2 linked regions of the Macaca fascicularis genome follow. The protein of the gene in region 1 binds, or shares a complex with, the protein of each later gene. Links are inferred from orthologs where the notes say so. Each region holds a gene or a part of one and is shown in the gene's direction. Other genes may lie near its edges.

Region 1 (3,500 bases):
CCCAGGCTAATTTCAAGTCAATCACTGTTAAGAGAAGCTATAATTGCAAAATAAAAGTGTTAACATTAGATAAGGCTTCAAAGATCCTCCAGTCCAACCCCGTATTTTCCAGATGGAGACACTGAGGCCCACAAATTGCAGGTGATAAGTCTGGGCAAACACTGTGGCTAAGCAGAGCCAAATCCAAGCTTCCTTATCACCTGGAAGTCGTGGTCTGTCCACTGTATCTCATGGCATCCTTGCCTTTTTGCTAGGGCTGTTCCCCCGCCTTCCTCCCACAAATCACTTACTGTTGGTTTCATTTTTCCACTTGCAGAAAAAGTTAGAAAACCTCAAGAGCTTAGACCTTTTCAATTGCGAGGTAACCAACCTGAACGACTACCGAGAAAATGTGTTCAAGCTCCTCCCGCAGCTCACATATCTCGACGGCTACGACCGAGACGACAAGGAGGCCCCTGACTCGGATGCTGAGGGCTACGTGGAGGGCCTGGATGACGAGGAGGAGGATGAGGATGGTGGGTGACAGGGGGTGGCCCAGGGCTGCAGGGGCCCAGCTGAGGCCTTGGGGCTCCTCCTTGGCTTTGCAGAGGTGGGTGGGCTGGGTGTTGGGAGGCCCCCACCCAGCTACTGAAGGCTGGCTGGCTGGCTGGCTGGCTGGCTAGCTGGCAGCTACCTCCTTCCAAAGCTAGGGAGGGGAGTGGGGCTGTCTGCTTTATTTTCCATAGTCCCTAACCTGTCTCATTGGTTGTCTTCCCTAAAAGAACAAAGTATGAGTCCCATGCTCATGGAAATATCCTGAGATTCTCCAACTGCGTAATAACTCCTTTAAAATCATCCAGCTGAATCCCCACTTCAATTTTTGTCCCTTTCCAAAGCCCTTCAGGGAGTGGTATTCTACTGTCATCCTATAGTGTGACCCGCACTTAGACACTCTCTCAGGGAGGGAGGGAGGGGATAGAGAGAGAAGAGGGTGTAGACCCCCCTTTCCTGTCTAGGTATTCAGTAGTGGAGAGGAGGTCCAGAGCTAGAGGGGTTGTGGGGCCCCCTGGTAGTTGCAGCCCACAGCCCCACACTTAGGGGCACTGGCTCAGGTGCTCAGGAGCCACAAGTGCTGGGAAGTTGAGGGCTGCAGGCCGCCTGTAGGGTTCCCTGGCAGTGTGGTGTGCAGTCGCGGCCTACAGGAAGGAAAGAGGGAAAAGAATGGGGTTCTTCGTCCTGTTACATCCCCTTCTCCCTTGCCACCAGCACAGTGCAGCTTTCCCATGGGTCTTCGTGGCCAGATAAAGTTGAGAATGGAGACACTTGCCTGATTGATTCAGATACAGGATTTTGGTTTTCCTTGTTCAATTGGGAGTGTTTTGCAAGATACTCAGAGACCGTGTTTGCCTTGGTGGGGATCTTGTGATATGGCAGAAAGGAGCCAAAACTGGCAGTCCCAGTACCAGGTCCCCTAGGCCCAGCTCAACCAGTGACTCAATGTGTGACCTTGAACAAGTCAGTTCTCTCTGTGCCTCGGATCTCTCACCTTTAATGTGAGGAGTTTGGATTGACCTTGCCGCTCTCCCGGGCCCTGGAACTTATTGTTCCGCTCTGACAATTTCCTGGTGGTCTCAGTGTGAGAGACCTCCAGAAGGGGTCTTTCACATTCATAACACTTGTGAGGGGGGGCTTATCTTTGGCACAACTTCAGGATGTGTTTAATTATGTCGGCATTGTTTTCATGAGAGTTAGTGTGTTCAATCTTTGGGCTTAGGTGGGTGTGGCAGGGTCGTGAGCCCCACACTGAAGACGCTACAGGGGCCTGTGCTATGTGGGGGCGGAGCCAGCTCACCACTAGTTCTGTTTCCATTCCCCATTTCCATTGCACAGAGGAGGAGTATGATGAAGATGCTCAGGTAGTGGAAGACGAGGAGGACGAGGATGAGGAGGAGGAAGGTGAAGAGGAGGACGTGAGTGGAGAGGAGGAGGTAAGGAGGCTGGGCTGGGCTGGGCAGGGCCACCGTCTGCCCCTTTGAGGCAGTCCCACTGACTGCCTCTGTGATCAGTCTTGGCAACCCTGGAGCCCTGGTTAGGAAAGTCGCTCCCCCGTGGGTAGTGAAGTGAGTCCATTTCAGAGCCTTTCACTGGACTGTTTCTGGGGAGACAAGACTTGCAGCAAGCTCTGGGGAGGCTGGATTAGAAGAGGGGAAGAGGATTTTAGAGGCAGGGACTGAACCTGCTGGGGTAAGCCTGGCCATTGTTTCTGTGTGAAGAAGTACAGAATGCATGACCCCATTTTCTGCTTTTTGCTTTCATATGCTAATTAAGATATTCATTGAGCACTTAAACTGTGCTGGGGAAAACCAAAGACTGCCTTGAACTGATAGGTAGCAGGATAACACTGCTGGATCCCAAATCAGAGAGTGACACTATGGAAATAGAGCGTCAGGAGTTGGCCATTTTCCTAAACAGATTGGCTGGTTCCCAGTTTTTTAACAAGATCTGTGAGGGGGTGAGTCCTAGATCTACCACTTACTAGCTGTGTGTCCCCGGACAATTTACCTGACCTTTCTGAGCCTATTTCTTCATCTGTAAAACAGGGATCATGATAGCTTTCTCACAGGGTTGTTAAGAGGATAAAGTGAAGTGTAAGTAAAATGCTTAAGGACAATGTCTGACAAGGGGTAAGTGTCTGACTGCTTATTGTAGGCGTTCACACCCTCCTCCAGGTTCCTGGCACTGTGTTGGGTTTTGTGTTTGTGTGTTCTGAGTCTCTCTGTAGCAGAGTCATTTTCTATAACTTGCTCAGAATTCTAAATCAACTCTTGCTAATTGCAGAAGTTAGACCTAGAGAGTTTTAAAGTGACAATAGCATGGACAAGGTACCTGTGTCCCCTCCCAACTCCCCCCGCAGTTTCCTGTCTCCCTCAATGGAGGATGCAGACACATCCGCTTGCCACACGGACTCACTCAGATAGTGTCTTCCAGTTTCAGCCAGCCGGCCCAGGCTTGAGAGACACAGGCCAATGACAATAGAAAAGCGGAGGCCAGGCGCGGTGGCTTATGCCTATAATCCTAACACTTTGGGAGGCCGAGGTGAGCAGATCGCTTGAGGTCAGGAGTTCGAGGCCAGTCTAGGCAACATGGCGAGACTCCTTCTCTACTAAAAATATAAAAATTAGCCAGGCATGTTGACGGACACCTGCAATTCCAGCTACGCAGGAGGCTGGGGCACGAGAATCACTTGAACCTGGGAGGCAGAGGTTGCAGTGAGCCAAGATGGCACCACTGCACTCCAGCCTGGGCAATAGAACGAGACTCAGTCCAAAAAAAAAAGCTGGCGAGATGAGCTTGGTTTCTGTTTAGTTGTGCTGCTGACTTTGTCTTCTCCCTAGGTCTAGACTCTTAGGCTCATCTCTAAAGAATATTGTATTTTAAAAATAAAGTCTTAGTAAAACAGGTTTCCCTACAACAGGGCAGTAAGTTGTATTGGCTAATAGCTGTTTCGTCTTCCCCTTCCT
Region 2 (4,138 bases), on another chromosome or scaffold:
TTAGAGACCGAGTCTCGCTCTGTCACCCAGGCTGGAGTGCCCTGGCGCAATCTCGACTCACTGCAACCTCTGCCTCCCGGGTTCAAGCGATTCTCCTGCCTCAGCCTCCCGAGTAGCTGGGACTACAGGCGCCTGCAACCACGCCCTGCTAATTTTTGTGTTTTTAGTAGAGACGAGGTTTCACCATGTTGCCCAGGCTGGTCTCGAATTCCTGAGCTCAAGTGATCCTCCCGCCGCCGCTTCCCAATGTGCTGGGATTACGGGCGTGAGCCACCGTGCTAGGCCAAAAAAGTTTTAAATTTCAGTACGTTCCAATTTATCAACTTTTTCCTTTTATAGATTGGTCTTTTGGTGTCGTCTAAAAACTATTTGCCTGGCCCTAGGTCCTGAGAATTTTTTTTAACTCTTTTTTTTTCCCCATCAGTGATTTATTGTTTTATGTTTAAATCTATGGTTCATTTTGAGTGAATTTTGTATAAGGTGTGAGGTTTAGGTTGAGGTTCTTTGGGTCTATATTTGTCCAATTTACCCAGCATCATTTGTTGAAAAGGCTCCTGATTCCATTTTTGTACCTCTCCCCTGAGAGCAGTGGGAATGTTTTTTTGAAAAAGTATGTCAGTGATGATGTGATGCCTTGTGCAAAATCCGTATTGGCATCTCACAGCGTAAGATTTGGCTCTATTCTAACGGCATTTTCTACCACTCGATATCCACTGTAATACTTGGCTCTCAGGGAATCACTGGGCTGGCTCGCTCACTTCATGCAGGTCCATTCTATTATCACTTCCTCAGAGATTTCTCTGGCCTTTTCTTCACAGCACTTACATAATGAGATCTATTACATATTAATTTGCTTATCTGTTTCTTGTTTTCCTATACTCCTGTCCCTCCCAGAAGCTCCAAGAAAGCATACTGTTGTATCCCTAGGGCCTAGAATAATGCGTCCACATAGTAGGTATTCAATAAAATCTTTTGCTTGACAGGTTAGAAAAGGTGAATAAACACAAAGCGGGAGCGAAAAGTTTACTTCTAGGTCAGGCGCTTTTTGGACGTCATGCAAAGTGTGAGCGCCACCTCTCGGGAAGCCAATTTGCTCGCGAACAAAGGAAGTGAGTCAGAGAACCCGGGGGTGGAGGGAAGAAAGCAAGCAGCTAACCGGAAAGGTCTGAAAAAGCTGGCGCCGGAAGTTAAACAGCAGAAAGTTGTTCCCTAGAATGACTGCCTACTCCCAAGAGGAAGCGTGGGCGAGCGGTGTTCTGCAAAATGGGCTCTCCGGCAGCGGATCTGCGCGGAAGCGTTCCGTGCGTGCGAGTGCTGCGAACCACGTGGGTCCCCGGCGCGTTTCGGGTTCCGGCGGCTGCAGCCGGAGTTCAAGACTAACCAGCTGGAAGGGTAAGAGGTGTTCGGGATCCTGAGAGGGAAAGGAAAGGAGTGTAGTCGCCGGAGAGAGTTAGGTGAGGAGTTAGTGAAGAGGTCAGTTCAGCTCTAAGAGGCGGCGAGGAGGATCGGATGGGAGGAGGGGCAGGGAGCGCCTGTGGACAAGTGCAGACCGGTCGGCGCACATCCCATGCCACATGGACTCTCCTTTGTCGGTGGCCGCCTTTCTCGTCAGGCCGCGACGACAGGGCTGTGCCTTATTTGCCTCTGTCGAGAGCAGTGCCGGGAACGGAGTTGGCGTTCTATAAGGCCTTGCTGAATAAATGACGGGCGTGTGTGTCATTCATTCAGCAAGGACTGAGTGCTTACTGTTGTGTCACCGGGATCGATGTGGAGGGACATTTTTAGGATCTATTTCTGGCACTTTAGTCCTGTTTTCTCCTGGACAATATTCTTGCCCCGCACCCCATCGGGCGATTCTCCGCAGTCTTTGGGCTTTGTCTCTTTTTTTTTTGGAAGTTGCAGAGTGATGATAAATGATTTTCTTTGCTCTTATTGACTGCTAGGCCCTGTGGCTAGGTACCATAGACCTACACAGGAGTAAATCAGCCTGGTATGCAGGCCAGAGACCGGTGGGGAGGCAGACACACAAACAGAAAGTTGGGCTACGGTGCTAAGATGCTGTAAGAAGAGGTTAACTAAAGGACAGGAAGGTGGGGCCAATAGGTGGAGCTGCTGTGTACATCAGAGATTGTCTTTCAAGGCGAGGGGCTTCCCATCTCAAGATGTGATACAGGGTACATCATGAGCCAGTATTCTGTAAAATGAGGGATCTGGACAGAATAGGTACTCTCTAGGCTTCCTTTCAGTATGATGTCCCGTATCAGGTATTCCTAATGTCTGTAGCTCTCCCACACCCCACCGTTTATTGGCTAGTCAAAATATTCTTTGCATTGTAAAGTGTAGCATACATTACAAGAATGGATTAATGGGTTGGGAATGCTGGGTTTTGGCCTTCATTCTGGTGCTCTGGTCCTGTTTCCTCATTTGTAAAACGAAGGGGGTTGTAAAGATATATTCTCTAAAACCCCTAATGCTATGGATGTGACATTAAGTCAAACTATTATTTCTTACTGCTTTGTGCCAGACATCACTTTCACATTAGTAAAACTTTGTATCAGTGTAGTTTCTCCCAAGCTTGATTACTGAGAAAGATAGTTTTTACCTCCTGTATCCTAGTTCCACCACAGTGTTTGGTACACAGTAGATGCTTAAAAGAAGCTTATTACATCAAATGGTGGCCAGGCACGGGGCTCATGCCTGTAGTCCCAGCACTTTGGGGGGCTGAGGCCGGTGGATTACTTGAGGTCAGGAGTTGGAGACCAGCCTGGCCAACATAGTGAAACCCCATCTCTACTAAAAAAAAAAAAATACAAAAATTAGCTGGGCGTGGTGGCACGCGCCTGTAGTCCCAGCTATTCAGGAGGTTGAGGTAGGAGAATAGCTTGCCTGGGAAGTGGAGGTTGCAGTGAGCCGAGGTCGCGCCACTGCATTCCATCCTGGGCGACAGAGCAAGACCCCATACCAAAAAAAAAAAAAAGGGGCTGGGCGCGGTGGCTTATGGCCATAATCCCAGCACTTTGGTAGGCTGAGGTGGGTGGATCAGTTGAGGACAGGAGTTTGAGACCAGCCTGGGCAACATGGCGAAACCCCATCTCTAAAAAAACCACAAAAACCAAAACAAAAATAAAATAAATCAAATGGGATAGAAATTATAGTCCTTGCTTTTGGATCCTTTCCCACATTGACATATTTGTTCATAGATGAGGGGACTGGGGAGGAACTGGGTTTTTAGCAGAGGGAGACCTGCAGCTGACCTGACAGATTTGAACCAGCTTTATGGGATAATCCGCTTGAGGAGGATGACGATGTAGGCAAGTGATTCAGCGCCGTTTCATTCCTCTACCTGCCTATCCCCAGGACCATGGCCAACTGTGAGCGGACCTTCATTGCCATCAAACCAGATGGGGTCCAGCGGGGTCTTGTCGGAGAGATTATCAAGCGTTTTGAGCAGAAAGGATTCCGCCTTGTTGGTCTGAAATTCATGCAAGTAAGTGGACTTCATTGTTCCCATTTTGATTTCTTCATAGTATGGGAGAACACTGTGATTAACCTGTTTCTCCCCGGCTTTCTTATTTAAACTTCTTCATGGTAGAGGGACAGAGTGGACACAAGTATCTAGAGACCTGGAAACACCTCAGTGCCCTAGCGTTTGGCTACGTTTAGGATTTTCCAAAATAGTCTCTGTAATATGAGGTGCATTGCTATGGGAAAAGCAGTGCAGAGTTCCACATATGACTGCATCTCTGTAATTTGTGACTCAGCTGAGCATGTTTGAGTTCTTGGTCTTGAGCTTCCTGAGCAGATAATTTTAGAGAGATTTTTTTCCCCCTTTGAGACAGGTTGTGTTTTTAGCAAGAAAATCTTCCATCAGCAATTACTAGACACCCATCAATGCTTATTGTCTAGCATTTATTAGGTACCATAGGAGCTTGTGGAGGAAAACTATGGTTTTGGTTTTGGGAAGGTTCTCCTGAAATAGCAGAGAGCAGATGTACCTGCAAGCTACTTACAAAGCAATCTTCTGATAAATGCAAGGGATTGATTGACCAGTAACCCCTCTTTAAACACATTCTAGAGATAAAAATTCAAATTCTTGGCTGGGCGAGGCACAGTGGCTCATGCCTGTAATCCCAGCACT

The links. The genes of interacting proteins can lie anywhere in the genome.
Region 2: ANP32A (region 1) and nucleoside diphosphate kinase A share a complex: the UniProt entries of both Homo sapiens proteins name them as parts of the SET complex. The link is inferred for Macaca fascicularis from reciprocal best matches to the Homo sapiens genes ANP32A and NME1.

What each region holds. Positions count from the first base shown.
Region 1 is NC_088381.1:45,550,564-45,554,063, reverse strand, and holds part of ANP32A (acidic leucine-rich nuclear phosphoprotein 32 family member A), read left to right. Parts: intron 1-316; coding exon 317-515; intron 516-1,869; coding exon 1,870-1,967; intron 1,968-3,500. UniProt on the Homo sapiens protein: Multifunctional protein that is involved in the regulation of many processes including tumor suppression, apoptosis, cell cycle progression or transcription. Promotes apoptosis by favouring the activation of caspase-9/CASP9 and allowing apoptosome formation.
Region 2 is NC_088390.1:55,553,380-55,557,517, reverse strand, and holds the start of nucleoside diphosphate kinase A, read left to right. Parts: upstream 1-1,338; 5' UTR 1,339-1,392; exon of another isoform or gene 1,393-1,454; intron 1,455-3,357; 5' UTR 3,358-3,361; coding exon 3,362-3,487; intron 3,488-4,138. UniProt on the Homo sapiens protein: Major role in the synthesis of nucleoside triphosphates other than ATP. The ATP gamma phosphate is transferred to the NDP beta phosphate via a ping-pong mechanism, using a phosphorylated active-site intermediate.